Arabidopsis thaliana: one gene and its partners. The protein of the gene in region 2 purifies or fractionates together with the protein of the main gene of each other region. This does not show direct contact. Each region holds a gene or a part of one and is shown on either strand. Other genes may lie near its edges. The genes, in order: AT3G05060, J2 and AT5G27140.

The links.
Region 1: the proteins of J2 (region 2) and AT3G05060 fractionate together in Arabidopsis thaliana (co-fractionation; one large-scale study listed by BioGRID). This does not show direct contact.
Region 3: the proteins of J2 (region 2) and AT5G27140 fractionate together in Arabidopsis thaliana (co-fractionation; one large-scale study listed by BioGRID). This does not show direct contact.

Annotation. Positions count from the first base shown.
Region 1 is NC_003074.8:1,409,477-1,420,927, reverse strand, and holds AT3G05060 (NOP56-like pre RNA processing ribonucleoprotein), read left to right. Parts: upstream 1-4,871; 5' UTR 4,872-5,044; intron 5,045-5,339; 5' UTR 5,340-5,363; coding exon 5,364-5,444; intron 5,445-5,532; coding exon 5,533-5,574; intron 5,575-5,667; coding exon 5,668-5,847; intron 5,848-5,927; coding exon 5,928-6,092; intron 6,093-6,298; coding exon 6,299-6,499; intron 6,500-6,592; coding exon 6,593-7,090; intron 7,091-7,196; coding exon 7,197-7,331; intron 7,332-7,454; coding exon 7,455-7,754; 3' UTR 7,755-8,061; downstream 8,062-11,451. Other genes in the region: LRS1 (Transducin/WD40 repeat-like superfamily protein), read left to right, coding at 1-20, 113-349, 431-526, 621-686, 837-875, 970-1,104, 1,304-1,656, 1,800-1,893 and 2 more; AT3G05080 (uncharacterized protein), read right to left, coding at 2,783-2,890; AT3G05070 (Cwf18 pre-mRNA splicing factor), read right to left, coding at 3,395-3,453, 3,660-3,774, 3,891-4,023, 4,321-4,448; AT3G05050 (Protein kinase superfamily protein), read left to right, coding at 9,734-10,162, 10,248-10,532, 10,613-10,930, 11,014-11,250, 11,437-11,451. UniProt on the Arabidopsis thaliana protein: Required for 60S ribosomal subunit biogenesis.
Region 2 is NC_003076.8:7,299,021-7,309,666, forward strand, and holds J2 (DNAJ homologue 2), read right to left. Parts: upstream 6,851-10,646; 5' UTR 6,649-6,850; coding exon 6,496-6,648; intron 6,165-6,495; coding exon 5,857-6,164; intron 5,757-5,856; coding exon 5,480-5,756; intron 5,396-5,479; coding exon 5,197-5,395; intron 5,101-5,196; coding exon 4,778-5,100; 3' UTR 4,486-4,777; downstream 1-4,485. Other genes in the region: AT5G22050 (Protein kinase superfamily protein), read left to right, coding at 2,447-2,519, 2,949-3,204, 3,301-3,353, 3,423-3,490, 3,577-3,672, 3,743-3,812, 3,882-4,189; AT5G22070 (Core-2/I-branching beta-1,6-N-acetylglucosaminyltransferase family protein), read left to right, coding at 9,235-10,323. UniProt on the Arabidopsis thaliana protein: Plays a continuous role in plant development probably in the structural organization of compartments.
Region 3 is NC_003076.8:9,543,483-9,553,928, reverse strand, and holds AT5G27140 (NOP56-like pre RNA processing ribonucleoprotein), read right to left. Parts: upstream 5,388-10,446; coding exon 5,310-5,387; intron 5,209-5,309; coding exon 5,164-5,208; intron 5,111-5,163; coding exon 5,018-5,110; intron 4,939-5,017; coding exon 4,774-4,938; intron 4,694-4,773; coding exon 4,493-4,693; intron 4,397-4,492; coding exon 3,899-4,396; intron 3,828-3,898; coding exon 3,555-3,827; downstream 1-3,554. Other genes in the region: AGL39 (AGAMOUS-like 39), read right to left, coding at 6,376-7,296; AT5G27120 (NOP56-like pre RNA processing ribonucleoprotein), read right to left, coding at 10,245-10,446. UniProt on the Arabidopsis thaliana protein: Required for 60S ribosomal subunit biogenesis.

The DNA of each region.
Region 1 (11,451 bases), on a different chromosome or scaffold from region 2:
GCGGTGGAAGAGACCAATGTGTGAGTAGACACCAAACTTGTTTCTTTCTTTGGTTTTCTTCCAGCGTATAACCTCCTTTTTTAATTTCATTTATCTGTTATGTTTCCGTCAGTTATACTTGACAGACTTGGCAACAAGGGAGAGTGTTTTGCTGTGCACTAAGGAACATCCAATTCAACAATTAGCGTTGCAAGATAATAGTATATGGGTTGCAACTACAGACTCCTCTGTAGAGAGATGGCCTGCCGAAGTACAGAGTCCTAAAACGGTCTTTCAACGAGGTGGCTCCTTCTTGGCTGGGAATTTGTCTTTTAATAGGGCGAGGGTATCTTTGGAAGGACTAAATCCAGTAAGCAAAACAATTTCCTCCTGTAAATGCTGCTGTTGAACCTTTTTTTATTCAGTGTGGTTAACTTTCACTTGTCTGCAGGCCCCTGCATACAAGGAGCCGTCAATAACTGTCCCAGGAACTCACCCGATTGTGCAACATGAGATTTTGAATAATAAAAGGCAAATTTTAACCAAGGTAAAATAGATTTCTCTGAATGCTCTTGTAAGAGACCACCATTGATAGTTTTGTAGAGGGGTCAATGATATGTGTTTGGTTTTTTCTTTTGCAGGACGCAGCTGGCTCAGTGAAACTATGGGATATAACTAGGGGTGTTGTGGTAGAGGACTATGGAAAGGTATTTATGGAACATAGACATCTTTTTTGAGTTTCTGATATTTGATTTATGTATCTGCCGCTGTAATTCTGGAATATTATTTATATTCAACTCCAAACGCAAATGGAGAAGTACTAAGTCAGAGAAATATATCTGTTCCCATCGTTACAGATTTCATTTGAAGAGAAGAAAGAAGAACTGTTTGAGATGGTAAGTCTCTTGATCGATTTTCAAAGGTTATAATTTATTTATCGTTAGTGAGGCTAGCAGGTTTGTTTACTTATTGCTCATATTACTTTCTTAGGTAAGCATTCCATCGTGGTTTACTGTGGATACACGACTTGGATGCTTATCTGTACATTTGGAGACTCCACAATGCTTCTCTGCTGAAATGTATTCAGCAGACCTTAAAGTTTCTGGGCGACCTGAAGATGATAAGGTAGATTAATTGCCTGCATTTTAGTTATGTTGAATCTAATCAGATATTTTATTATTATCTTACTGTTGCATATACTAATAAATCTCTGTATGCAATTAATATTTGAATCTGTTCACCATAATTGAATATTTTAGATTTTCGTTTGCTCTAACCTAGTCAAAGTAAACCTAATTTTGTCATTGGATCTTGTGATTTGTAGATTAATCTAGCTCGTGAAACACTGAAAGGCCTGCTGGGTCACTGGCTGGCAAAGAAGAAACACAAACCAAAACCCCAAGTTCTTGCCTCTGGAGATACTTTATCTGTAAAAGATACCAAAAAAAATCTAAGTGCATCAAAAACTGAAGAGAGTAGTGCTGCAAGTGATCCGGTGTATCCTCCATTCGAGTTTTCTTCCGTCTCCCCTCCTTCCATCATAACTGAGGGTTCTCAAGGAGGACCATGGAGGAAGAAGATAACCGAGTTTACTGGAACTGAAGATGAGAAGGACTTCCCATTGTGGTGCTTGGACGCTGTCTTGAACAATCGGCTTCCACCTAGAGAAAATACAAAGTATTCGGCAGTACCTTGTTCTCTAAAAAAAAAAATAGTTTGGACTTTTAGCAATTTCATCACATATGTTTTTACATTTTTTTATAAATAGATAAAACTTCTTTCATAAAATGTCTGACTTTGAAAGCTCTTCAAATTTACAGATTAAGCTTCTTCCTGCATCCATGTGAAGGTTCATCGGTGCAGGTGGTTACACTAGGGAAACTTAGTGCACCCCGGATCTTAAGAGTTCACAAGGTGCATTTATCTGTAATTTTAAGTTGTAGTTTTGCTTGCACTCTCTGTTATTCAATGGCTTCTTAAATGTCTATGTAGGTTACCAATTACGTTGTGGAAAAGATGGTCCTTGACAATCCGTTGGATAGTCTAGCTATTGATGCAGCAAGTGTTTCAGGAGGACAACCTCAGCCACTGTTTTCAGGAAATGGATTGTTACAGTCTGGATTAAAGCCTTGGCAGAAACTTAGACCTTCCATTGAGATCTTATGTAATAGCCAGGCAAGTCAGACTTCAAGAGATCCAACTATTGCCCTGTTTCTGGTTTCAATTAACTGTTTGCAGTATGAGGCTGAACGAGCTGTTTCTCTGTGATTATTTCAGGTCTTATCTCCAGATATGAGTTTAGCAACTGTACGGGCATATGTATGGAAGAAACCTGAGGATCTGATTCTCAACTACAGAGTGGCTATAGCTAGATAACTTTTGAGGTAAAATATTAGAAAAAGGTGAAAACTTGTGGTAATGCATTATGTTGGTGTGTTGTCAAGATAAAATTTATTGAGCGGCTCCATCTACTTGACAGTTTTTACTTGGGAAGGTGATTTCATATTAGGTATTTTCATCAGAAAGAAAAATAGAGATACTTGAGTTGGTAGATTTTTCATGTGAGCTTTTTCACAACTCCTGATACCAAAGCCTTTGTAGATTGCTCTTTTTGGTTTGAAACAAATGATAGGAACAATAATGTTATGTTGATCGAAGCCTTGAAATTGAATATCACCATATTCATTTATTGCTCTACAGATTGGGATCTGTCTGCTGGTGCATTTAATCACATGGAAGTCTATAGCTTTTCATTGCTTGTTCCTTCGAAAAGCATATATCTTGGTTTACCTTGGCCTAGTGTTTACTTAGCTTCTCTTCTTTGGAGCTTGGATTCATGAGAAGTGGGCACCAATAAAGGTCCAAGATATTTAGGTGAGATGGTGTCGAAAGCTTTACTGAATTTGTACATTAGGTTTGAGCTTTGGAAAACAAAAAAACTTAGTATCTATTTTTGATTGTTCGGTATTAATAAACAAATATTGTATCTAAACTCCATCATCCCACTGTGGAAGCAACATGCCGAGAAGAAAGGTCTTAGAAGCTCTCTGTGTTGTTTTCCCAGACTCCAAACTAAACCCGTCTAGCCCGAATCAAAACTTTGGTTTCTAGTTTGGGATGTCTTTATCAAACCACAGTAAATCGAATCAAACCAAAAAACGCAGTTCCATTAATGATCAAACTAGATTACCACCGATGTTGAACCAAATTTAGAGAAAAACCGGACCGCACTTAATTCTACTCGGAAATAAATTGCGACTTTCTTTGATTCACACAAGAAGATAAACCTACTATGTCTATGCCAATGGCTGTAGGATTTTACATGGTCTACTCACTTCGAATGCTTTAACAGTTAAACAAAATCGAGTAGAATATACTGTTCAGTGGTGGCTTTCTTTGATGACGTCGTTGGGTTTCAACTTTCTATGGTGTTACCATCAGCTTCAGCCATCTCACGTTCTTTCTCTTGCTCCTCTGCAATTAGATGATGAAAGTGCATGTGTTAGTTCCATAATAAACAAACACCAACAGATCACTCTATTTTGGACTTCTATGATTTGGTATCATACTACCAACAGATTCAGTGAAATGTTACTCACTTACTCACGAACCACAGACTAATGTCTTAATTATCAAGCTTACATAGAAGATATCAGTATGTAGATACAGTTGCCACTTACCCATGAGTTTATGCATTGCCTTTTGAGTCCGCCTTTCGAGCTTATCAAGCTTCTTCTGCACATCTCTTCGGAGGTCCCAGTTTGGCTTCTTTGGAGCGATGTTAACAAATGGGTCCTACAATGATAACATTTTTTGTAAGCTTAAGAGGCACAAGTAAAGGAAACAACAATGCTAAACAGAGTCGCTTTTGGTGATCCTTGTACAGAGAAAAGAAAAACTGTCACACACACCTCTTTCTTCTCTACAGCAGGTGGAAGTGCAACGATCGGATCTTCGAATTTGGGTAGCTCTGGTGGCGCTAGTTTACCATCCTGAAGCTCCTTAGCTTGGGGAACATAGTTTCTAAACTTCATGGCTGGACCACTGTAAAATCAAAGACAATTCATATGAATAAAAAGGGAATCTACCTCGAATAATCAATCAACAAAACCAACCACCTAAGCAAAGTATACACAACAATGCAACTTGAAATTGGAAAAAATTGTTAGGTAACAGATGCTGCAAGAGCACCATTATTGATTCTCTCACAAACAGTGATAGTAAAGGCGAGAAGCAAAGCACAAGAGAAGCTCCTAGTTATGCTAAAGCCAACACACAACATTAACAACTCCATGTGCTAGTCAAGACAAACAAAATAAGCAAAGAACAAAGCAAACTCACTCTTCTTCGACAGCTTCATCCTCTCCGTCTTCCTTGGTCTCAGACAGTTCCTGAGCTGCCCTTAGAGCTTTAAGTGCCTCTTTACGAGCAGCAGCTTTTTGTTCAATCGATTCATCTTCACTAGCCATTATAACTTCCTGCAAAATTAGGTTATCGACGTAAACATCGAACACTAGCCCAGCTTCTTCAAACACTAATCACACAACTACAGAGTATAACCCTAAACAACACGCAAAATCGTGATTTTCAGGATCCACGGAACTAATCAGATGAAGTTTTAGCAAAATCAGAGCTATACTATGAAATAAAGTTGAAGAGAAGTATGGAAAACGCTATCTACCCAGAAAATCAACGAGAAAATTTGAAACCGTACCTTGAAGCTTCGAGCTCTATAAATTCGAGACAAATTTGTTGAATACCACAGAGAAACAAAGGGATTAAAAAAGAAAAACTATTAAGGGGGAAGAGAACAATAAAACGCCCACGTATTAATATTATAAACGGGCCAGATTAAAATATCCATTCAGTCAGGCCCATTAATCTTAAAACCTAAACCCTAACTATGGAAGTTATAGAAATACCCCTTACAATACGCGGCGTTTTAAGAAGGCTCGGCTCGTCTTTAACTGCTATAACAACACACTCTTAAAACCCTAAGTGATTGTCCGTCTCCGTCTTCATCTTCTTCCTCTCTCTCACGCAGCTGCTTTGATTAACTCTTCAGGTATTTAATATCTCTCATCTTCTCTCTTCACGGTGTTTCACTTTTCCATTCTTGCTGGAGATTGTGGAGTTTCGAATACTCATACTCGGACAGAGTTTTAAGGCTATTGTAGTTTATCTCTCTGTTTTTTCTTCTCCTGTATTTCTTATGTGATCTAAAAGTAGGATTAGGGTTTATATGGAATGCTGTTTCTCGCTAGTTTTTAATCTCAAAACGAACTTTTAGTTTAATTAGTGTGACTCGGACACGTATCTTTACTGTTCTGAGTTAAGTGTTGTCTTAATTTTCTCTTCAGGTCCAGCTTAAGAGTTTTGTGAAGATGGTCTTAGTGCTATACGAGACAGCGGCGGGGTTTGCCCTCTTTAAAGTTAAAGATGAAGGAAAGATGGCTAACGTCGAGGTGAGTTCTCTTCATTCTTTTGTACTCTCTTTGCTTATCCTTAAGGCTCTAAAAGTATTCATGGATTATTTTTTATTTTTTTTTGCAGGATTTGTGTAAAGAGTTCGACACTCCAGACTCAGCACGAAAGGTAATTTTTTTGCTTCTTCATCAAGTGTGGTTTCAGAACATCTAAAATTAGATTTAGTGTTGAGTTTCTCATATGTTTTTATTGGTGTACCAGATGGTTAAGCTAAAAGCTTTTGAGAAGTTTGACAATACATCTGAAGCTCTCGAAGCTGTGGCTAAATTGCTGGAGGGAGCTCCAAGCAAAGGTCTGCGCAAGTTTTTGAAAGCTAATTGTCAAGGTGAAACCTTGGCTGTGGCTGATTCAAAGCTTGGGAATGTTATCAAGGAGAAACTGGTTTGTAATTCCCATCATTACACCCATATTCCTGTCTGCTCTGTGTTTTGTTTCTAATGAAAGTTCTTAATTTCATACAGAAAATTGATTGCATTCACAACAATGCTGTTATGGAGCTTCTACGTGGTGTTAGAAGTCAGTTTACTGAACTCATATCTGGGTTGGGTGATCAAGACTTGGCTCCTATGAGCTTGGGTCTGTCTCACAGTCTCGCCAGATATAAGCTAAAGTTTAGTTCTGACAAGGTATCTTCGGTTCCTGACTAATTGTATTGGTCTTTTTATTTGGTGATATGATATGTGAAGTATATGAATTTGTTAATTGATCGAAGCTAACTTGTGTTAAATTATGGAACTTCTGTATTGAACTAGCCTTTGATTGTCCGACATTAAACGTTTCCTGTGTTTGTTTTTGCTTCTCTTGCATCTCCTAACTGTTTAGTTTTTGTCAGGTGGATACCATGATTATCCAAGCTATTGGTCTGCTTGATGATCTTGACAAAGAGCTGAACACATACGCCATGAGGGTTAGAGAATGGTATGGATGGCATTTTCCCGAGCTTGCTAAGATCATATCAGACAATATCCTATATGCCAAATCTGTTAAATTGATGGGAAACCGAGTTAATGCTGCTAAGCTAGACTTCTCCGAGGTAACTTTCAATTTTGTAAACTGTGTAGAGGCTTCCATGAACAAACGCCTTGATTAACGACCTAATATTCTCCTGTTTCTGGTTTCATTGTAGATCTTAGCAGATGAAATTGAGGCAGATCTTAAGGACGCAGCTGTGATATCCATGGGAACAGAAGTCAGTGACTTAGACTTGTTGCACATCCGTGAACTCTGTGACCAGGTTCTCTCTCTTTCTGAGTACAGAGCTCAGCTTTACGATTACCTAAAGAGCAGAATGAACACTATTGCTCCCAATCTGACTGCCCTGGTAGGAGAGCTTGTTGGTGCTCGTCTTATTTCCCATGGAGGTAGTTTATTGAACCTCTCCAAGCAACCTGGGAGCACGGTTCAGATACTCGGAGCCGAAAAAGCTCTCTTTAGAGCTCTTAAGACAAAACACGCCACACCCAAGTACGGTTTGATTTTTCACGCATCTCTGGTTGGTCAAGCAGCACCAAAGCACAAGGGAAAGATCTCGCGGTCTTTAGCTGCTAAAACTGTTCTTGCTATTAGGGTTGATGCTCTTGGTGATAGCCAAGATAACACTATGGGCCTTGAAAACCGAGCTAAGGTAACAAAATTCTTCAATAGCTTTCCTCTTGTTGGTATCTCTCTGAACAATCTTTTTTCCTCCTTCTTAACTGATGATGTTTCTGATATGTGTTAAAAACTCACAGCTTGAAGCGCGGTTGAGAAATCTTGAAGGAAAAGATTTAGGTCGTCTGTCTGGTTCATCTAAAGGCAAACCTAAGATTGAAGTCTATAACAAGGATAAAAAGATGGGATCAGGCGGTCTTATCACTCCTGCTAAGGTCACGATCATTCTCTCTGTTTTTGATTCATCATCTTTTCTTCTAATTTTGGATGTGTGTACATATTGTCTTTGTTCTTGGGATTATGATGAAGTGATCTTGACTGTTTTTTGTTATGTGCAGACTTACAACACTGCTGCAGATTCTCTTCTTGGGGAAACCTCAGCTAAATCTGAGGAGCCATCAAAGAAGAAAGATAAGAAAAAGAAGAAGAAGGTAGAAGAAGAGAAACCCGAAGAGGAAGAGCCATCAGAGAAAAAGAAGAAGAAGAAAGCTGAAGCAGAAACTGAAGCCGTAGTAGAGGTTGCAAAGGAGGAGAAGAAGAAGAATAAGAAGAAGAGAAAGCATGAGGAAGAAGAAACAACGGAGACACCAGCCAAGAAGAAGGATAAGAAAGAGAAGAAAAAGAAGAGTAAGGACTGAGGGAGAGAAACCGATTTTGAGAAATCTCTTGAGTGTAAGATTAATAACTGTTTTTGTTGAATTGCATTTTATCTAGAGGAATAGGTGTTTTAAGATGAAACTTAAATTTTCTGAAATCGTCATTTTGAATGATGGATTCATATTTAAATCCTTTTCACCCGAACTTTATTTTTGTTCTAGCCTTCCAGACTCTAGATTATTAATTTTGGAACTCTTTTTTCAATTTATAGTTTGTAGTTGTACAATATTCTTCTTGCATGATTTATATATATCTGGAAGAGGAAAGAATTGAAGAAAAATAATATATTCTGAAAAAATCAAATAGTTTTTTGCTACTAAACGTGTCTGTAGATTCACCAAATAAAATACTCTTTGATTTTGTTTTGATTTTAAAGATTTTTTACAGGCGTTAGTATCTTTTTCATGATCGTATTTCTCTTTGTTGACTATGCATGTTTATCTTTGGTTATTGTCTGGCAAGATTTTAATCAAATTAATGAGGTCAATAAAATTAGTATATCGTCTACAAGAATACATAGTAGTTAGCAATAATGCTGGGAATGAATGAATAAATAGATAATATATGTAGCTTTAAGTCATAAAAGAAATAAAATGGCTAATTCTAAAGGACAGACGTAAATCATTAGTTCCTTAAGCTTTTGTTCCTTGTTTGGTTTACAATAGAGTCTTGATAAAGGAGCTTCTTTGATTGGATAGATGAAGTAAACTCTCATTACATACCATATTTCTTATTTTATTTGTTTTTCCAATTCCTATTTTAATATTAAAAAAAACTCTTAGTGTTTATTTTAATAATAAATTCCAAAATTAGGTGGGTACATACCAAATATTCTTTACATATGCTAAGTAATATATTGTTTTTGACCAACAAAATTATAGATCAGTTTTAATATTCTAATGTCATTGAGAAAACCACTTCTTTAACACCATTGGACCTCTTACACATTAAAATCTCCCCCAAACTTTATAGACTTATAGTACTCCACAAATTTTTAAAATTGAAAATTGTGATAGAGAAAAGAGAGAAGAAATGAGTACAAAATGGTGCTCAGAGGTTTTTAAGTTGGTGGGGGCTGAAGAAGAGTAGTAACTTTGAGCCTTTTTGACCGTATTGGTGTTGCGTCCAAAAACAATTACTTACACATAATAATAATAATAACAAAGAGCCAACAGATCTTCGTCTGTTTCTATTTATTCCTTTTTCTTGTCTGATTCGCAGAAAACTAAAGAGAGTTCTTTTTCAAGTAAAATTCGAAGAGCAGTTCAACGAATCCTTCTTCTCCTTGAGACATTTTTACCCAAGTTGGTCTCTTTCTTCCTTCTTAAACAATAGTAGAGTTATTATTGGTCTACGACTCTGTTGTATATGTGTATGTATCACCTTGCCTTTTCTCCAAAGCCCTAATTGATTTTTCTTTCTTCTTTTTTTGTGTATGCTTTAAAGGTTTCATTTTTAAAATCTTCTTGGACTCCATTTCTTTTCCTTTTCCTTTATCTTTTTGCCTCTCTTTGTGGAGTTTTTGAAATCATCCCTCATTTCATTCCTATTTTCGTTGTCTCTTTGAGTTTGAGTCAGCTTTGTGTTGTGTCTAAATTCTAAACAAGTTTCAGATCTTTACCTTCCTTTGACTTGTCTCCTGTCTTAAAACTAGGGTTTAATTTTCTTTCTCTGTTCAAGTCTCAGATTTGACCAGCTTGGTCCAGAATTTCGCTTCTCCTCGATCATAAAGTAAGTAAATTTCACCAACCCTTTTCTCTAAGTCTCCTGTTTTAGTCAAATCTGATCTTCGATGTGTTTCTAGTTGGAATCAATTTTCTTGTTTGTTTTCTGATTTTTTCTGTTTCAATTTTTCATGTATGTGTGTGTGTTGCAGTCAAAGTTGATTCAAAGAGGTTTGATTGAGTCAGAGATCTCTCTTTTAGAAACATGTTGAGCAAATGAAGGTTTGTTTGATGAGATGGGTTGTGTATTGGGTCGACCCGGATCATCAGGATCAGTTTCTGGGTCTAGAGACGAAGTTAGTACTAGGATTGAGTCTAATCGACATCAAGTTAACAATGTGTCTGTGACCAAAACCGAAACAACAGAGAGCACTAGTGCTGTTGTTGTTGCTTCTGCTTCTAATGGTGAGGAAGTTAGGAATCATGAAGATGTTGTGGATCAGAAGAAAGAGAATGGCTTTGTTGTGACTGAGGCCAAGGAGAGGAAATCGAAAGGCGAAAGAAAAAGGTCTAAGCCTCCTGACCCGAGACGGAGCAACCCGCCAAAGAATTTGCTCGGTGAGCAAGTTGCTGCTGGATGGCCCTCGTGGTTGTCTGAAGTTTGTGGGGAAGCGTTAAGCGGATGGCTTCCAAGAAAAGCGGATTCCTTTGAGAAGATTGATAAGGTGAGATCAAAATCTGTTTTTGTTTGTTCTTTGCAATGATTTTGGGTAATTGAAGTTTGTTGGTTATGTGTGTGTGTGTGTGTAGATTGGATCAGGAACGTATAGTAATGTGTACAAGGCGAAAGATTCGCTGACAGGAAACATTGTGGCTTTAAAGAAAGTGCGGTGTGATGTTAATGAACGGGAGAGTTTAAAATTTATGGCTAGAGAGATTCTGATTTTGAGGAGATTGGATCATCCTAATGTCATTAAATTGGAAGGTTTGGTTACTTCGAGGATGTCGAGTAGTTTATACTTGGTTTTCCGTTATATGGATCATGATTTAGCTGGTCTCGCCGCTAGCCCGGAGATAAAATTCACTGAGCAACAGGTTAGGCCTTGGTGAAATAGATTCACAAATACAAAATCCGAGGCAGATCCTAACCTTGTTAATAATGTCTATGTTTTCAGGTTAAATGCTATATGAAGCAACTACTTTCAGGGCTCGAGCATTGCCATAACCGAGGAGTTCTACACCGTGATATTAAAGGATCAAACCTTCTTATAGATGACGGTGGAGTTCTTAGAATAGGTGATTTCGGGCTTGCAACGTTTTTTGATGCGAGTAAGAGGCAAGAGATGACGAATCGGGTTGTTACTTTATGGTACAGATCACCAGAGCTTCTTCATGGTGTTGTTGAGTACAGTGTCGGAGTTGATTTGTGGAGTGCTGGTTGCATTTTAGCTGAGTTATTAGCTGGTAGAGCGATAATGCCAGGTCGTAACGAGGTTAGTTCTCAAGTAATGATCTTTTTCTTTCCGATTTGAGTTATTTCATATGAAATGTGAACTGGCTTAATGTTCACGAGCAGGTCGAGCAGTTGCATAGGATATATAAGTTATGTGGATCGCCTTCAGAAGAATATTGGAAGAAGATTAGACTTCCTTCTACTCATAAGCATGCTCATCACAAGCCTTTACCACAGTATAAGAGAAGAATAAGAGAGGTTTACAAAGATTTCTCTCCTGAGGCGCTTTCTCTACTCGATACGCTTCTAGCGCTCGATCCAGCTGAACGCCAGACAGCTACAGATGTGTTGATGAGTGATGTAAGTTTTTTGCAATGGAAATTTTGAAACTTTGAATAGAACAAACTAGTTAGGGGTATCAAGTTAGATTACAGAAATGAGAGTGACGCTAAGAATGAAAAATGCTTGGAACTTGTGAATCTTTAGGCGTGTGACTTGATAGTGGTTAAAACTTCCATGGCCGATTTTGTTGTTGTTGTTGTGCAGTTCTTCACGACGGAG
Region 2 (10,646 bases):
AAAGACGACGAACAAGGCCGATGAAAGCCGAGGAAGAAGAAGCGATGTATTTTGTGAAATTTGGGTCTCTAATTGGGCCTCCGGGTCGGATCTGTGCCATGTATAATCGGTATAGGCCTGCGAAAATACCGACCCCAAAAATAAGAACGCAACCGAACCAGACCCGAGATCCGAGGAACACAGAACCAAATCCGAGTGAATAAGATCCAAACCAAAACTAAACCGATTTTGTGTATTTACCATATTGGATCCTAAATTTTTTTATCCGAAGATCCGAACGCGATCGAGTTTTACCAGAGTCCAACCCGAATACACGAATATCTAGCTCTTAATCGGTATTTAGAGAACGTGTGGCTCACGCGTAGGAGAAACAAACAGAGACTTGTGATTTGTGAAGTTCTTAGTTTTTCTTTTTCATATAACAAAAACGTTTAAGCCATTACAAGTTACAACACACATATATGGATGTGCTACTATCTAGTTTTGAATATTGTTCATCTTAATTTGAGAGGATCAGAAATTCAAGGGGATATTAAATCATTTTCACCAAATTATGATCCAAAAATCCAATATTTGTCCTATTTATTTCCAGTTATTTCATATGATTAAAAGTTTCTTTCTTTCTTTCTTTTTTACATTATTCATTAAACATCTAAACCCAATTAGTGTAAACTGACATACTTATCTTAAAATATGTGTATATCTCGTAGTAATAAAGATTCAACCTTCAACCTTTTAATTTTTAAAAACAAAAAATATATAAATTTTACAAAAACGATTTTAAAAGAAGGATTATAAATTTTAAGTGAACGTTTGATTATGGATACGAATTGAAGCAAGTGCTTCAACTTCAACTCCAAATTTAATCTCCTTGGTAGAAAAGTAATATTGCGCCAATGGTTTTACATGAAATTATTTTTGATGTTAGTTTATTAATTTTCAGGATATTATTTAGTATCTGGAGATACATGCGTAAACAACCTTTTACATAACTAAGCCTTGAGACTAACCAAAACCATCATCCACAACCTCCGTCTCAACAAGACACTGAAACCGGACATCTAACGGCACTTGAAGCTCAACAAGACATCAAAACCGAATATATGATGCATATTAAGAAAATAGAGTTTAAAGGTATCGAAGAGGAAGGATTTGATGAGATTTGTTGTTCAATTTGTCTTGAAGAATTTGAAGATGGCCATGATATTATCCGTATAAATATGTGTAGACATGTTTTTCATCGCCTTTGTATTGACTCTTGGCTGAAACAGAATCAAAGCTGTCCGAATTGCCGATGTTTTTAAGTAGAGATTATTTTAAATAGATTTATTTCATAATTATTCATCTAATTAGGATATTTGGTTATAAATGCGTTTACATTTCTGAAATTAACGGGTACATATGATATAGAAGAAAAAATAAAAAACAATTCAGGTATCAACAAGCTAAGTAGTCCTAAAACTTATTAAGGTTTTTCAGATTTACCCACAACACCTGATATCTATTGAGGTTTTATGAATTCAGATTTTTGGTGGGAAGATTCATCTCTAGGCTTTGATGTTTTTTACCAGCTCCTACGTCTTTACTGGTAACACTTTCTTGGTTATAAATCATTTCTTTTAAGTGTAACATGTTTGTTTTATAGAAATTAAAGATCGCATTTTATTAAAAATAATATCGTCTTGAAGACCATCATGATTCGTTATTATGCTGCCGTATGGGTGTTTAAGCTTTGGTAGACAAAATCAAAATTTTGAGGAATAAGTAATGGACAACATCTTCTCGAGAGTTTGGGGCCACATTTCGTTGTTCTTATCCAAAATAATGAAAATATGAAAAGTTTACTTATGAACTAGGAGCAAAAAAAAAACAGAAAACAAAAAACTCCCCAACTTCAATTAATATACATTGTGTTAAACAATATACATTTTTCAAAATATAAACCTTAAACTTAATTCATTTAACAAAGGATTTTACTTCACCTGTCGGACTTGAAATTTCTAATTTTTTTTCTTTCAATAATCGATCACTGAGACTATTTTACAAGGTTCCAAAAACTTGAAAAAAATAATTTAAAGTTTTTAACAAAGAAACAAAAGAGGGTTAGTGACAAATAATCTCTAATAACTGTTTATTTAGTATTAAAAAACCGTTATCATTACTAACTGTTTTTTTTTTTTTAACACAAATCACTAATAACTGTTAAAAATATAGAAAGAGGAAGAAGAAAAAAAGGCGTGAGGTTGATATTACAGCTCAGAGCTAAAGCTTTCGTACAACTGACACTCCTCCAAAACTTCCAAGAAAGCATCAGATCCCATTCTCCGCAATCATCTCTCAATTTTCAAAAAAAGCAGATTAAAACAGAGATTAGCGAGTGAGAGAGAGAGACAAAGATATAGAGCTTCTCGTGAAGCAACAGTGAAGAAAAGGAAAGTGAATCGCCATGGATGATCGCCTTCGCTTAAGCCGCAGAATCCGCTTTCTTCTTCTTGCTTGGCTCCGTCGTTCTCGCTCCGGTAACCCTCACAATTTCGTCCCAATCTCCCTTCATTTTCGTGATTATCCTCTGTTTTCAGATTTGGTTTCCACTATTCTCGACTAGATTTTGACTTTCTTAGCTCTTCTTTAATCTCAGATCAATTCTAATGGATCTTCTAGTTGATAGATGTACTATAGTTCGAGTATGTTCTAGGGTTTACGTTATCCCTGAGGTTTTAGTAAATTTGATGTTGGTCAATGCTTTGGAGAAAACTATGATTTGCTTAATACTCTGTTCTAATTTCGTGGAGATTTCAATTGGTTCCATAAACTTGGCTGTTTCTTAGTTTCATGAATCATTTGAGTGACTTGGTTTGACTTTTCTATATGAGACAATGTTAGTCTGTGTTGTATGTTATAGTTTCTGGAGTAATTTATACATGCTTCAATTTTTGATATCATTACAGGAAGAATAGAGTTTATCAGACGATTTGGATACAAGGAAATAATCAAAGCAACAGAAGGTTTCCGTAAGGTTATTTACACCAACTATCACGGGTCTGCATACAGAGCTAAATTCAAAGGTGGTGAGGTTGCTTTGGTCAAAGAACTCACTGCTCTTGATCTTGGACGAGAAAGGTTTGATGAGGAAGTTCAGCTTTTGGGTCGCTTACGTCACCGTCATCTCCTTACACTTCGTGGGTTTTGCATTGGACGAAAGAGGTTTCCTTTTACTTCTTGAAAGTTGAAACCTTGAAAGAGAAAAAAACAATTTTTTGTTTGTTTGTTTGCTTATGATTTCTTGTTCTTGCTTTTCAGGCTGCTAGTGTTTGACAACATTGAAAATGGAAGTTTAAAAGAACACCTCAATGGTAGAAAACTCCCAATACATAATCATCAAGACATAATCCTTTATTGAACCTTTGTCTCTTTCTTGATAGATCCGCTTAAGACTCCTTTAAATTGGAAGACTCGCATTCAGATAGCTATTGGAGTCGCAGCTGCATTAGTAAGTTGTTTTTAAAAATCATGGACAGTAATATGAGTTCTTGCTTATTCAACACAAGAAGATTATGATCCGCTCTTTGACTGCAGGAATACTTGCTAGTCTTCAGCAGTAATGATGCACAGATATATGATGTTTCAGTGAACTCATGTAACATCATGTTGGATGAAAACTTCACCCCCAAAGTAAGTTCGAAGATACAAAGTTCAGTGCAGACAAAACCAAATTTCAATAACTGAAATCTTCCTCTCACAGATTTCAGATATCCGCGTCAACAGACATCCAAAAAACCATCCGAAAGCAACCCATGATTCTTGTTCTGAAGGTTAAAATTTCTTCTTTCCAAGATCAATGGTATTCTGCTTTACTTAAGGTTTGAGAATTTGATATGTAGGATCATGTGCGGATGAGGAATGTGGAAACGTGATATTCCAACTAGGAGTGTTGATGTTGGAGCTGATCACAGGACAATCATCAGACAGACAAGGCAATGACTTGATCGAATGGGTACAAGACTCGTGTATTGCAAACTCAATTGATAAGATGATTGATCCAGATTTAGGTAACAACTATAGCTCTAGAGAACTCCAGAAAGTCTTAGCCGTGGCTCGACTCTGCATAAAAACGAGGTATGAGCCTCCTTCATTCTCAATTACACATGTATACCGGTATCTACAGAAGAAGATCGATGTTGCAACTTGAATACTAGTTTTTTTTTTGTGAATTGAATTGGGTTTGATGGTTGAAATTGAGATGACATGTGGTTTATCATCCTTATTTAGTCTTTTGCCTATTTTTACACCATTCTAGATGTAATAACAGCTTATAGTGTAGTAGCATTGTACTTGTCTTGATATAACTTTTGATATTTGTAACTGATGGCAATTGATTTCTTTCTTACCTTATTTGAAAAACAACTCTTTACCAAGTACTGGTGAGAATCTCTAATTCTCTAAGCTGCAATCTAAATGGTCGCTAGTAAGTAATATTGGTATTGTCAGAACCATATCCTTGTACACGTCTCCTCTACTTTGAATAGGCCTAAAAGGCAATCCCCGACTTATGATTTTGGTAGAATTTGGGACAACAAATAGATGGTGGGTCAGGACAAAATCTCAAGAACTACAAGTTTATTTCTCAAACCAAAAAAAATGGTGTAACAAGGATTTGAATTAGGACGAGGTTCTTCCCACTGAATTGGCAAAGTCTATAAAAAGACCCAAAAATAATACAATGAAAAGGAGAAAAGACAGAAGCAAATATTGGAGATCACTAAGATGCGCATGTTGATCACTGCTGGGCACATTGCACACGCTGAGCACCGCCTGGGTGATCTTCCTCATCGTCATCATAAGCCTCTCTTTGAGCTTGCGCCTTCCTTTTCATCTCATCCTCAATGTTCACATCATGCAGAGTCGTCTCTTCGCAGTCGTCTATTTCCATATCGCTTATAGCTGCCTTGGTTGGCTTTGGCAAAACTGCTTCAATGGCCTTTGTCTGATCCGGGCTCAGCGATTCCGGGAATTCAACCGTGAAGTGAATGTATAGCTTACCCTTCATGAACGGCCTTTGGTATATTGGCATTCCCTCATCACTTATCGCCTTGTATGAATCTATCAGCAGTAAAATAGACACCATGGTAAGATAAAGAAAAGTTGTCATCTATAATACAGAAAGGGTTTATGACTGGGCCAAAGTAAAATACGTACCAGGTTTGACGACCTCTCCGGGCTTGGATTTGATGAGAAGCTGTCTTTTGTCCAAATGGGTCAAGACAAACTGGAAGCCACACAAGGCCTCGGTTAGAGAGATGGTGTGCTCCACAAAGAGATCCTCACCCTTTCTTTTGAACTTTGGGTGCTCCTTCTGCTGAATGACAAACACTATATCTCCGGTGACAGTATCAGGCTGTTTCCAAATGAAAAAGAAAGGAAAATGTCAATAGACGAAATATATAATGATCAAAGCCAGGACAAATAGAGTATCACATACCGCTTCATCGGCTTGTCCACTGAATGTGATCTTCTGATTGTGTTGCATTCCCTTCTCCACATTTACTTCAAGCACCTTCTTCTCAGAGACAACCTTCTCTCCTTTGCATTGTGGACACCTGTCCCGATCATTGATGGTCTCTCCTGTGCCTTTGCAATCATTACAAGCATGCTGCACCTGCTGCATCATTCCAGGTCCAAACTGCCTGATCGAGATCTTCATTCCCGAACCTTGACAGCCACCACATTTCATTGAAGCTCCAGACTTTGAACCCTTGCTGTAATCATAAAGCAAATATTGTCAGAAACAGTAAAAATTTGGTAACAAACACAAAGCAATACAACAACTGTGAAAGTATAAAGTAAATAAGAACTAACCCGTTACACTTTGAGCACAAAGCCTTCCTAGAAAGTGAGAGCTTCTTTGTTGTTCCGAGATAAACATCCTCTAAGGAAACCTTCAAGGGATGAACAACATCTTCACCACGCCTCTGCCTCCTTCCCCGGCTATGACTTCCGAATGGGTGTCCACCACTACCAAAGAAGGAAGAGAAGATATCAAATGGATCGTGTCCACCACCTCCACCACCCATTCCTTCCTTGAGTGCATCTTCCCCATATTGATCATAGATCTCACGCTTCTCAGGATCACTTAAAACTTCATAAGCCTGTGCTAACTCTTTAAACTGCAGAAACAAGAATTAAACCGTTAACTATAAACTCAAATCATCATAACCTCCAAAGCAATAAATTCTTGTCTCAAAAGTTCCAAAAGAAGAAATTTGGCTATCTGAATATTCGTAATCCCAACAACAAACAATCTAACAACTTTTAACTATCACAAGACAAAAACAACCATCAATAGTTGACCTAAAACTCGCAGATTTCAGATCGAATCGAACATTCGTAATACTAATACGAAGATCTAAGCCTATATCAATCGGAGAATTCAAATCAAACTACTAGATTAACGAATTGAATTTACAGAGAATCTAAGCGAGAATCGAAAAGAGAAACCTTTTCGGGATCACCACCCTTATCAGGATGGTTTTTGATAGCGGCTTTCTTATAAGCTTTCTTGAGATCTTCTGGTGCTGCGGTCTTAGGAACACCAAGGATCTCGTAGAACTTTGTGTTATCGCTCTTCCTTGAAGGTCCTCTTCCAAACATGTTTTTTGCTCTGTTCTTACGAAAACCCTAAAAAAAATAAACAGAGAGAAAAGTCTTCACGAGGAGAAGGAGAAGGAGAATGTTGTGGCTGCTAACTTGTTTGGTTTTGAAGACTTTGCTTCTGTTCAAGGTCTTGTGAAGCGGAACACTCTAGAACTTTTTATATCTTTTTCTTTTTGCCCTTTTCCTTTTCTCAATTTTGTTTTTATTGAGAAAGAAATAGGAAATTTCTTCTATGATAGACTAAAAATATAGACGGAAAAAAAAAAGACTAAAAATATGGAATTATGGAAATTTTAATTTAAAAATTGTAAGAAAAGGAGATTACTTTGAAATTTACATTAAGAAGTTCATATATTCATCTATTGTTGTTTGACATATAACATATTAAAGGTCTCTTCTTTTCAGTTAACAAAATATTAAGGTTTTTCTTTTATCAATCAGAATCCAAATATAATTAATATACAATAATTTTATCTCTTTTTAAATACAGACTTTAGAGTATTATATCAACATATATAATCTAACTGCAAACAAAAAAATATTATAGACAGGCATATAATCAAGTTATTTCTGTTATTTATTGATTAAAAATTAATTTTTCGATTTTCTATGTAATATTTATTAGTTATTATTGATAAATTTTAAATTTTAAAAATAATAATTAAATAATATTAGTTTAGAATAGTAGAAAATTATTAATCATCAAAAATAATATATTTATAATCAACTTTTAATATGTATATTTTTTTAGAAAATCAATTGTCAAGGAATAGATGAAATATAATTTATTGAATGCAATTTAGTCCTGACTGAAAAATGTTATACCCGATCAACATAGAGAATCCAATTGACAAATTTTGTCAAGTACTTCAAGTGATCTAAATCATTTTATAAATGCATGAGTAATGCAATATCTCAAAACAAAATGATTACACAAATCATTAATCATGGGCCTGAGTAAGATATTAACCCGTTTACTAAAAGTGCTTCAAACATTATTCACATGGGGTACTTATTCATTCTCCTTTACCAAAGTGCGTCATGTGTCGCGTACGATATGTACGACCAATGCTTATGATAGCTAATACAACTTCGTAAGTACGTATAAAAAGACTTTTAACAAAGTAAAAAAAAAGTACATATACAAAAAACAACAAGCACTCGTTGTAGATTTTGCCTCTAGGTTCCTGGATCCAGCCTTTAATTTGACTTGGTTTCGACTATGTTCCATGTAATATGCTTTGGTTGACTTCAAATCAATGCATCTATTTTGGTATACCGTATCTATATCAATTCTCCTTTCTTTCTTTTGTATCATGGGGATTATAAAATGATTGCATTGGGCTGTATATTACTCACACATTCAATATAAATTATTATATACACTTATTCTATTAAAAAAATAATACTAAAAGGCTATTCTCCAATGTTATTATTTTGTCTTTTTAAGCATTATGAGGCTTTATTTGAATATATATCACATCGTTTTAAAAAATTTACCATCCACGACGCCTACCACGAAGTATTGACTCCATTCAAATTACGATTAGCATTATGCACTTTATGCGTAATTCTCAGATTAATACCCTATTGTAATTTTATTTTTTCCTTCATAAACCGAAAATCAGAAAATTTTGGATTATAATTTGTAATCATATGGACTGGGGATAAAAAGCGGGTTTAATCTCCTTCCAAAGAAAATTGAACCATAGTATTTCTGTTGTAAAGAGTCATGACTCATGAGTATAAAAGCATAAGCTTATACATCTAATCTAATACGTGTCCTTAAAAAGAAATAAAACATCCATCCGAGCAAAATAGTGCATTACCAGTTACCAAATCAGTTGGACCTACCGAATTAGATACAACATTCAATGTCTAATTTATTACAAAAATCCTCACGTTTATTACTAAAAAACATAAAAATCAAATGAATAAAAAATAGCACTCACACATCATTATCGACCGACGTATCATCGCCGTTATCAACGACGGTAAACACAGCGCAACGCCGTTAACTCATCCGTCTCGTTCCGATAAACAAAACAGTTACTATAATAAACTTGACGACGTCAGGTATTATAACGCTTGTCGGTTTTGTAAATTGACGTAAATACCCCTACGGCCAAAGTGGCGCGTCAATCACAGATTGATTAAAAACAATACTCCGTCATCTTAATCTCTCATCATCACTGACTGTGATTGAATTTTTTTTTTTTTTTACAATCTGAGATCTGAAAGATATTTCTAAATTCTCATTAAATTCCCCCATAAATTTTCAATCTTTGCTGATTTTCCCCCAAATTTCTGGAGATAGATAACCTTCGTTTTTCAGGAGTTTCTTTCTATATTTCTTCATCGATTTCGTTCAGTCTTTGAGAGAGGTTCGTCGACGTATTATCGTCGGAAAAAAGCTATGAGAATCTATTTCTCATAGCTCCAGTAATGTGAAATCGAGACAACGCTTTATCTTCAGAATCTGCTAATCCATGGGAGATTCAATCACATTCCGGTAGATTTTTTTCCAGTTTCTGGGGAAGTCAAAAATTTCTAGGGTTTCCGATTTTTGTTTTCCTTTTCCAAATGTTCTCGAATCAGTTTGTTCTCTTCTTCTCTCTTCTCCTATGTCTCCCATTTGTTTTCTTCTTTGTAGCGCCACATGTGTTTCCTTCTCCTCCTGGTGAATCTTTAATCCCAATCTCCGATGAGATTGATGACCGGAGTTTATTCATCGCCGCTGCTGGATCAACCTCTCTTTCTCATCTCTCATCTGGAAACCCTAACCCTAAGCTCAAGATTGCTTTTCTATTCCTCACCAACTCCGATCTCCATTTCGCGCCAATCTGGGATCGATTCTTCTCTGGTCATTCGAAATCTCTCTACAACGTCTATGTCCACGCAGATCCTTTTGTCAATGTCACAAGACCTGGGAATGGCTCTGTGTTTGAGAATGCCTTCATTGCAAACGCGAAACGCACCGCAAGAGCTTCTCCGACTCTTATCTCCGCCACGCGGCGCCTCCTCGCTACCGCTTTCCTTGATGACCCTGCGAACACTTACTTCGCTGTGCTCTCTCAGTATTGTATTCCTCTCCACTCGTTCAACTATGTTTATAGCTCTCTCTTTGAATCTTCAATTTTTGATAAATCTGATCCGGATCCGAATCCGAATCCGAGAGGTATTAGAATCTTGTATCGGAGTTTTATGGAACTGATATCTGATGAGCCTAGGCTTTGGAAACGGTACACTGCTAGAGGAAGGTATGCTATGATGCCTGAGGTTCCGTTTGAGAAATTCAGAGTTGGTTCGCAGTTCTTTGTTATGACTAGAAGACATGCTTTGTTAACAATCAAAGATCGGATCTTGTGGCGTAAATTCAAGCTCCCGTGTTATCGTTCTGATGAGTGTTACCCGGAGGAGCATTATTTCCCGACGCTGTTGAACATGAAGGATCCGGATGGTTGCACTGGGTATACGTTGACGCGAGTTAACTGGACTGGGACTGTGAAAGGACATCCTTATACTTACAAACCAAAGGAAGTTGTGCCAGAGTTGATCCAGAGACTCCGGCGATCGAATCACTCTAGCTCCTACTTTTTCGCCCGCAAATTTACTCCGGATTGCTTGAAGCCGCTTTTGGCCATTGCAGATTCTGTGATTTTCAGAGATTAAGTTATGCAGGTAAGGTTTTTTCCCAAAGCCTCTACTTTGTTACTGACTTTCATAATTGTGGTGTGTCTATGTGTTTTGGTCTAGGAACTAAACCGAGATTGATAGTTTTGATCTAAAGCCATCAAAAATGAAAAATGTTTTTATAAGTAGAACATTGGCTAAGGTGGTTACACAGTAATTGGATTTTATAGCTTAATCATCAAACTCTGGTTTATTAGTGAAGGGCTAAAGAAAAGCACTTGAAGTGTTTTTTAGACTGATCAAGAATGATAAGAATCAACTTGGATTATACAAATCTGCCATGAAAAGGATACTGTACTCCT
Region 3 (10,446 bases), 2.2 Mb from region 2:
AATTCTCAAAATTTCCTATTTTTGGTAATAGCACAATATGAAATTAGGTCGGAACTTTAATAACCCAGATTTCAAATATCTCCCAACAACAAACAACAAACACAAAAACTTCAAATGAAAAAAAAAAAAAAAATTGGTGGATCTGATCTGAATTGCTTTACCTTGAACAACTTCTGGGTAATCTAAATATCTTCAGTCTGATTTACAAAAGAGCCCAGAAGATCAAAATTCAAAATTTTGGAAGCTTCGAAAGCTAAAACCTGAGATTCTTCTTCTTCTTCGTCTACGAGGAACGAAACAGAGAGGCGAATTCGAAAATTGAAGGAATTGGGGAAGAAAAAAAAGGAGAAAATTACGGGACTGAGGAAATTATACGAAATTTCGATTTTTTACTGGAAATAGAGAGAGACGTGTACGGTCCCTTTTTAAGAGAGAGGGAGATAGAGAAGAGAGAAGATTCCAATTTCTAAACACAGTAGAGAGAGAAATATAAGTTACGAATAGGAGAGAGATAGAGTGTATGTATTATTCTCTGTTGTGTAAATGAAAGTACAAATGGCGAATTTATAGCCGTTGATTTAAAGTTACTATCTGAGATCTGAACAGTTTAGTGTTTGGATTTATTGTGGAACTTATCGTAGACGATAAAACCTGACTGTACTAAGATTCATGATTTATCTATTTGATTTGTCGAGTACTTTTGGTTTTGAAGACAACAAGTTTTTTTTGGGTCACCGTTTTATTTATTTTTTTGGAATTTTCTTCACCTTGATGCTGAACTTTTTTAAAATTCATAAAAAACCTAAATACATAGTGAAACTCTGATGCAGTAAAAGAAAATATTATATGGATGAATTTGTGTAGACGAAATTATTTATAAAAAAAAAGCGTTAATGGCAAACTCAATGAACCAAAACAAAAAAAAACAAAATTTTATCATGATTTCACCTTTATTTTTGGTATCATTTCTTCTAATTTTATTAGAGATATACATTTTAGGATATATATATATATATATATATATATATGAAAATGGCAATGAATTTTTTTATACAAGGTTACTATTTTCCTTATCCTTTATCAAAAAAGGTTAATTTCTCATAAGATAAATTAGGTTATAGGGATCAAAATCTCACAGAAAGCAACAATGATTTAAACTTGACCAAGCGTTGTTACCTCAATTGGTAAAGATCCTAGGCGAAACTTAGAGGTCGTTAGTTCGAGTGATGTTTGGGACGAAACTAATATTACATGTTGTGGTTTCAGGCCTGAAGGGATTACGGGTTTCGGCCCAGAACCTCCTGATATTCCGAAAAAAAAAAAAAAAAAAAAAAAAACTTAAATATAAAACTATATTTCATTCTATTAATTGTTAATTAGTTTAGATAATAACAACTCATGAAATCATTAGATTAGTGCCGGTCTGCCGGATATGCTCCTAGCTAAGTCTATGTCATAACATATAGAATCGACTAGTTAATTATCGTGGTTCTACCATTTATAGTTTACCAGATCATACTGTATGCTTGAAAATTGATAATCTTTCGGAAATGAATTTGTTTTGAATATTCTCAAAAACGTGTTCATCTTAGTACCATATCTTTTTGTCATCAAAATGGTTACGGATCTTCTAGCGTTTAATCACCCTATTTGTTTTTTTGTAATATCATTGTTTTTGTTTTTGTCAACAACAAATATTAACATGTGAATTTATATTTTAGTAATAATATAATAACTATATTAGCAAAAACTATTACCCTACATATTTTGGTATTTTGTAATGTTGTTATTTTATTATTAAAAAATGTTTTTATTTTATTAAAATTTGAGAAGGATCAATTATTGAGTTATTGTTTATTCAATCTACGTGAGGATCTGAATCTAATTAATCATACAAACTCCAAAGTCTGTCCACGTCGTAGAAATTGTTTTAAAAAGCCCATCAAAATCTTTACAAAATAAAAAGTTTCGTTAAAATTGGATTACTATTTCAACATACAAAGTTTTCAAGTATTTAACGTGCAATTTAGTGCCAACCAAGAAAGATAATCTATTATTCTATTACATAGAAAAAGGATAATATTAACATATTTTACATACCGCCGACGAGACTCATAATTTAGATAAATGTTGTTATGTAATTGTTCTTACAAACAAATTGTTTTTATTATCACGGTTATGAAAATTAAATAAATTGTCTCATGGCTTTTCAAATATTTAAAAGGTCATGTCAAATAAAGTAGGGCCAAATTTCATATAGAGCTATCCACTTATTTTGGAATTAAAGATTAGGTACAAAAATGCATCACCTACAATCTACGGATCCAAATTATATATCATCACGATTCCCAAATTTACCTATTCACGACAATATAGTTGTTCTAACTATAGTTATATATATCTATATATATATATATATATGTATTTTGTAAGTAAAAATAATATGATTATTTCTAAATTTTCGAGGAAAAAAACGAGGCCATGTCGGAATGACAAAAAAATACTTTTAACGTTTACTAATTTTTAATTAGGAAATTATTGTTCATTGGTAACTCTTTTCCTTATAGAGTATAAACCAACTCACGTTCCTTACATATGTCGAAATGACAAAATATTTGGTTATTGTTAAATTGTTTGTTATTCAAGCAAACAGAGTGTTCTGGTCTTAATAGAGTAAAGATATAAGATTAAAACACACAAAAAAGGTAAATATTGAGCGTGACACTTTTTGCATCAGAGCTTTCTCTACATCAATCATGGATATCTCAAGGTTTCTGCATTTTTGTTCAACATACATATAAGGCATTTTCTAGAGCCTAAAGCCGGATCAATGAAATCCGGGGCCCTATTTAAATTACGAAAACAAAGTACTCTTATCTTAAAAATTATAGAGTAAATAGAAACTAATTTAAACAAAATTCTGGAGTTAAAAACAAAAGTACAATAATATTCTCAAATATTTTGGACCACACAGTTATTTAGGATTTATATGTATAAAACTAACTATTTTCTCCCATTATCAAAAATCAATATATGTATATATAACTAAAATAAAATTTCTTTGAGGCCCCTTTAGAATGGGGGCCACTGTAATGTTTCATGTTCATGTGTTATGGTCCGGCTCTTAGTAGCATCGCAATTTCAATAGGTTCGATTGAGTGATTCAAAGGTTATGGAATTCAAAGCCACATAACCTTTTTACAAATTTGATTTTGTTTTTGATCCACTTTTCTCTTTCATTTATTTATGGAATTGGATTTTTTTTTTATCCAACTCTTATGGATGTTTAGCTTGTGAATTAATCATGTTTAAATCCACTTGTAAATCAAGTCTAAAGCGACAGAACCTTGATGTTTACGTTCTTGTGAACATATTTGTTGGTCTTAACCACATCTTTAACTGATTATTTTTTTTGTCAAGTCTACCGAACCAAATGACAAGGGAAACCGTTTTTGAATTGAATGACTTTGAAAGAGTATCAACATGATCCTAACAAAACGTCAAGAAACTAGACGTGTTACTCACGCATAATTTTGTATATCTGAGCTAATGGCTTACCATAGCAACTGGTTAACAGAAAAGAAATAGATTAGAGAAATTAAAAGCATCAGGAGTAATAATCCTGTTACACCCTCTTGTTTGCTCTTCTTTGCGGGATCTTCCACGGTTTCAAGTTCTGCTTCTTTCTTCCTCTTCTTCGAACACTCCTCAGTTTTGGGTTCTTCCTCATCATCAGCCTCCTTCTTTGTATCTTTGTCATTAACTTCTTCTTCTTCTTCGCATGCTCCTAAATCTCCTCCTTCAAGATTTCTCAAGCGCGCTTCAAGCTGTCGAAAAAAATTAGACCATCAAAGAAGGAAGAAAAATGTAGATAGGATCGGGCGGGAGAGAAGAATACCTTTAAGCGGCTTTCGACTCCCATAGTGTTGTCTTGGCCATTACCAAAAGCATCACACCGGATAGCAAGAGCAGATTTTGCAGCTAGTGAACGTGCGATTTTACCCTTGTTCTCTGGTGCAGCTTGCCTAACCAAAGGTGCGTGGTAGATTAAACCATACTTTGGAGTGGCTTGTTTGGTCTTAAGGGCTTTATATAGGGTCTTTTCAGCTCCAAGAATCTGAATTGTGCTCCATGGTAGCTTTGAGAGGTTCCATAAACTACCACAATGAGATATTAAGCGAGCACCGACTAGCTCCCCGACAAGGGCAGTTAGATTTGGTGCAATTTTGTTCATTTTGTTCTTCAAGTCGTCACAAAGCAGAGTTTTGTCCTCAGCGATTGAAAGAACTTGGTCACAGAGTTCTTGGATGTGCATCAAATCAAGGTCACTGACTTCAGTTCTCGTAGACACCATAGAAGCCTCTTTTAGTTCTGCTTCAACTTCATCAGCCAATATCTGAGATGACATTGGACACAGAAAGATGTTTCATAAAGACAAAACTATAGTTTAATGGAAACAAAAAGTCAAGGAGAATGGTAAATAAGGCTTTACCTCAGAGAAGTCTAGCGTTGCAGCATTAATCCGATTCCCCATTAGTTTAACCACCTTGGCATATAAGATATTGTCCTGTACAATATTAGCAAGCTCGGGAAAATGCAAACCGTACAATTCACAAACGCTCGTAGTGTAAGTGTTAAGCTCTTTGTCAAGATCATCAAGCAGACTGATAGATAGGATTATCATGGTCTCCACCTAACAAAACATTTTAAGTATGAGAGGGGAAAAGTAACATAAGCAAGGGTAAAACAAAACACAGAGAACTCAATGACTACCTTGTCAGAGGTGATTTTTAGTTTATATCTAGCAAGGATGTGAGACAATTCCAAGCTCACTGGAGCTAAATCATTATCATCCAATCCGGATAAAAGTTCGGTTAACTGACTTCTCACACCTCGTAACAGCTCCATAACAGCATCGTTGTGAACACATTCTATGTCCTAGAGGAGAGAAGCAAATCCGTAAGACACAAGCCATATATATACAGAAATATGTAAAAGATCATAACAAAATACACACCAGTTTCTCTGTGATGATATCTCCAAGCTTTGGATCAGCCACAGCTAAGATTTCACCATCATCACAGTTATTTTTCAAAAACTTGTGTAGACCCTTGCTTGGAGTTCAGATGTGTTGTCAAACTTATGAAAAGCTTTTAGCTTAACCATCCTTCGAGCTGACTCTGCAGAGTAGAACTCAGTACCCAAATCCTACAAGAACAAATTTGACATACTTAGAATATTAAAAACAAACGACACATATAGACAAGGTTAAGATCAATGAAAGTAAGAGAATGAATAAGGTAAATAACCTCAACATTAGAGAGCTTTCCTTCATCTAATACTTTAAAGAGTGCAAAACCACCTGACGTCTCAAACAGTACGAGCATCTTTAAGATTACGAGAAACCCTTTAATCAACTCAACATCTCAAAGTCAGAACTATACTTAGTCAAAAACTAATACTTGGAAGCCACGTTCCACTGACAACGGAGAAAGATTCAATAAATACCTAAGAGGATTTAAGCAAAGCTGCTGCGTTAGAGAAAGAAAAAAAGAGGAGCAACGAATTTGCTATAAGGGTTCGAGATTCTTAATCGACGATCTATATATATAAGAAAATAAATATATGATTTTCTATTAAAAAGTTACGGAAAAAAAACATGTGAAAATATAATTTTCACAAAAAACTAAAAAAAAACCTTTAAAAAAAAAACTATTCTTATTTTCTTAAAATGGTATATTTCTAAAAAGAATTATACAATTAATTTTTAAAGATGTCAAAATAACCGACCTTACTTCTAAGGGAAAAGATTATCAAAAACAAAGTTTATTTATTCTCTATCAAAAACAGAGTTTGATCTGCTAATTTTAATATACAAATTGTAAAATATATGATTACCTTAAAGAAACTATAAAATTAATTACTAATTCGAAAAATGATTATAGTTACTTTTTTAATAAAATGTTGGTATAAATATGTTCATCTAATCTACGTTACATACATAATCTTAAATTAATCTCAAGTACTCTGTTCAAAGTTCAAACACATCACCTAACAAGATGACCATTAAGGAATCAAAAAGTGTTCAGCTAAAGGCTAAAACTCATGTAAAATTACAAGCAAAAGCTCCAAAAACTGTGTTCTTCTTTTCTGAGAATCCAAATTCAAATCACTAACTTGAATTTAACATCAACAAACTAGTAAGTGGAATTGCAAAACTGATTCAAACAATTTACTTTCAACTTCGAAAGGGTTCACATCAGAGTATCAAACAATAAAGGAAAAAAGGTTTACAAAAACTTAAATTGGATCAAGAATCTCTGTTTACAATGAGACAAAATCAGAACAAGTTCTGAAGATTACAACCACATCATATCAGACATGACGTCTAAAGTCGGAATCTCCGAAGTTGATCATTGCATTGGTGTTATCGAGACCGAAGTAGCTGTTTAGACCAAACACATCATCGTTGGATAGATCATTCCAAAAGCAGATCTCATCATCCAAATTGACATTGGCCTCTGTTTGTGTTTCTTGTAGTAGTAGATTGATTTGGTTAATCTCTTCCTCTGTTTCAAATCCTTGGATCTCGGAGCTAGGGTTTTGATCAAAAGAAGCAACTTGTGAAGATGATTCTCCACAGATCTGATAGAGAGAGGAGTAACAGTCCTGATCAAAAGACGGAGACGAGAGGTTAGGGTTTTGATCGCCATGGAAAGAAGAAAAGGTTTGATCGCTGCAATACTCGTTGACAGAGTTTGGAGTAAAAGTAGAAGCAATTTGCGAATAAGAAGATCCATCACAATCCTCGACGTCGAGAGAACAAGTACTATTAGGGTTTTGGTCGAAACTAGAAACAAGTTGAGATTTTTCTTCCTTCTCAAGGCAAGCCATCACATGCTTCTTCATTCTCTGTAAACGATCCTCGATAATGCTTAACTCAGAGAGATCATCACACGAATGGTAGAGATCAGGGTCTTCCCACCAAAATCCTAGTTTGGATCCGGCCGGGTTAACAATCTTGGGTGGAGGCTTGCGATTTAGGTAACAATCAGCGATTTCGTAGGCAGAGGAGTAACCGGAGAAGGAATAGACAACATCGGAACTATCGGAGGGAGAGGTTACGAAGACGGCGATGTTAGCACCGGAGATAAGACAGAGATCGGCGGCTTTGGAAAAAACAGTTTGACGGCGTTTAGAGCAAGTCACGGCTCGTTGCTCTTTGGTTTCTCGTTTCTTTATTTCGATTTTGCGCTTTGTTCCTTTCTTCATCATCGTGGAATCAGATGAAGGCATAATGTTTCTTACGGAGAGACAAATAGACACAGAGAAAAAGTGAAAAGAGAGAGTAGAAGCAAGATAGATATATTACCCATATTTATAGATGTAATAGCCGCCTGAGTTATATATGTCAAACTTAATTAGGTCTTGTTGTTTTCCTTTTACTGCCCAACTTTATTTCTATGCATTTAACGTTTTTTTTCTTTCCTACTAAAACGTTTTAGAGATTTCTTTTATTACAACAATAGCAGAAAAAAATTATTACTACTATAAACAATTAAACATATATATTGGATATTCAAAATTATCTAAATATTAGATTTTAACCCGCGTTATACCGTAGAAATAATTTATTTTTTTAAATCAGTATATATAAAAGTTTGCAAATTATATCTATCTATAAAATAAAAATATTTTATAGTTTACAATTGTTATTAAGTAACGTTCTTTCAAACCCGTTCCGCCAAACTCGTCCCGTAAAAAAACCCAGTGGTACACCGTTAATTTAAATATATAATTAAAATAAATATTTTACGGGATTGCAATTGTATTTTAGTTTGTCAAACAAATTTTTTTAAAAATATTTGTCGAAATCTAATTCAAATTTTGGAGAAATTAGATTTAGTGAATTGATAAGAAATGTATTTAGGTGCATTTTGCTCATTTTAAGGGATTGCAATTGTATTTTGGTTTGTCAAACATTTTTTGTTTTAAATAGTTACCGAAATTTAGTTCAATTTTGGAGAAATCTGCGTGATATATGGGATTAGAATATATTTGGAATTTTTTTTGCTTGTTAATTAATTTATTGCAAAAAAAACAATAATTAAAAGCTAGTGGCAGCCATTATAAATAAGTTCCAACTCTAAGATTTATTTCACAAAATGGCGGCAAAAATGTATATGTAGATTTAGTTACCTATAATCAATGTTCAAAAAATCGTTGTACGGTAGCTAGACGTTCGATAGATGTCTAGGCTATTTTTTTGAACATTACCTATAATAAGTACATAAAACACTATATATTAAACTTTTTCGCGGCAACTAAATCTAATAATACTAAATCAACAGTCACTTTTAAAAAAACTGTAAGCTTCTCATTTTGACACGTATGCTTTAAGTCTAAAATTTTGCACTTCCACAATCGTAAACCAATTCACTTCCTTTTACTATTCAATAGAATATTCTTTTTTGACAAAAGATAAATTTAAATTTTTTTAACCACTTTTTCAGCAACTACTTCTTCCACGTTATTAAGATTCTTTACTTTCTCTCCCATCTTTCAAACCCTCTGCCAGTTAATTTACGATCTCAAGAGCAACCGTATAAGCCATTCTCAAGAAGATAAAAACAGGTTTAAATTCTTCTTCTTCTTTCCTTTCTCATAATCTTAGATCCTCCATTCTTTCATCTAAATACGTCTACCAGAGAAACGAAAGAATGACGTAAATAATGAAAGTTGAGACTTTTGTGATACCTAATGTGATGGACGCTGTTAACCCCTCACGACTCACTGAGTTTGGTCCACCCAATCGCTGGTATGAATATCAATAAACCTTTGGCCGTTTTGTTGCGTTTTACTTGGTCTTATCTTCTTACATTTTCCATGCACACCCGCTGCTACAAAATGACCACATGAGTTTGCGAGAATCATATAGAAACAAAATGGATGCAAATGTTTTGGGGCTTTCAATTCAGAAAAAGAAGAAGAAGAAGAAGAAGATAACCAAATTGAGAGATGGGTGGCATGACATGACATCTTCTTCCACGGTGTAGTGTGCAAAATAATTTAAATGTGAAACCATCTTATATGTTCAAGTTTAGAAAAGCGTTTTGGTTAGAAGGTAATTCATTTCTCCATCATTATTATTGTTAAGTTTTTTGAGAAGAAAAAACGGCTCTGTATATATATATATATTTTTTTCTATATATCTATGAGATAAGTTAGTGTATTTATGTAAGATTATTTGCTGTTTCCAATAAAAGTTTTCTTAATTTTAACACATATATTATTTTACAATTTGAGTAAAGTTGAATAGGACTTTTATTGAGAGTTATAGAGCAATGTGTGATACACATTGTATTTTGTGAGGTTGTGATATTCGTCATTTGTGTAATTGTTGCAAATTTCAAAGACACGAAATATATTATTGGTATTGTTGTTTTGCGTGCAAGGCACGGGCTGCCTACTAGTTTACTTACAAATAAAAAGACTTTATAAATTAAAATCCAGTTCGATAGGTGTCTAGGCAGATTTTTTGAACATTACCTACAATGATTACATAAAACACTATAGATTAAACTTTTTCCACGGCAACTAAATTTAATTAAAAATAAAAAAAACTTTATGAATTAAAATCCAGTTAAATATTTTAAAACATATATGTTCAGTAGTAAATTTTGATATTGACGGAACCATTATCACGAAATATTCAGAAAGAATTTTGATTCATATTCATCACAAAATTTATAGCACAATAAAAATATATACACACACAAAGTAGGTAGACTCTAGATTTTATTTATCTTTTGAAATTTCTAAGGTCTGGTATGATTTGCCTTATGCTCAACCCAATCCATTTCCAATTGACTATTAAGGTACTTTTTAGACTCACAAATATTCATTTTGTACAAGGTTTTTTAAAATGTCAATGATACACTTGATGAAAAATGTCGACTCTTCGGACTGATCTTTACAAATTTATGAACTAATCAACTATGAGTAATTACGTTATACTAAGATTAGAAGGATTTAACGGTAAGGTCTTGACTCGTTTGGCAAAATGCAAGTTTCTGGGATAAGGACTAAACCAAACATATTATAACCTTACAAAACGAAGAGTAGTTCTTTTTTTTAAGTTTCAAACAAAACAAAAACCTTACTTAACACCTAACGCCACAAAAGATTTTCTTTGTTTCTGATAACAAAGTAAACTAGACCACGCAAAAATATTAAAGGTCTCTTCAGACCTCAGTTTTCTTCTTCTTCTTCTTCTCACTCTTTTCCTTCTTCTTAGCAGGCATTTCAGTTTCCTCTTCCTCGTGTTTTCTCTTCTTCTTCTTCTCCTTCTTTGCAGGCTCTTCGGCGGTTTCAGGTTCTGCTTCTGTCTTCTTCTTATTCGATTTCTTCTTTGAGGGCTCCTCAGTTTTGGCTTCTTCCTCATCA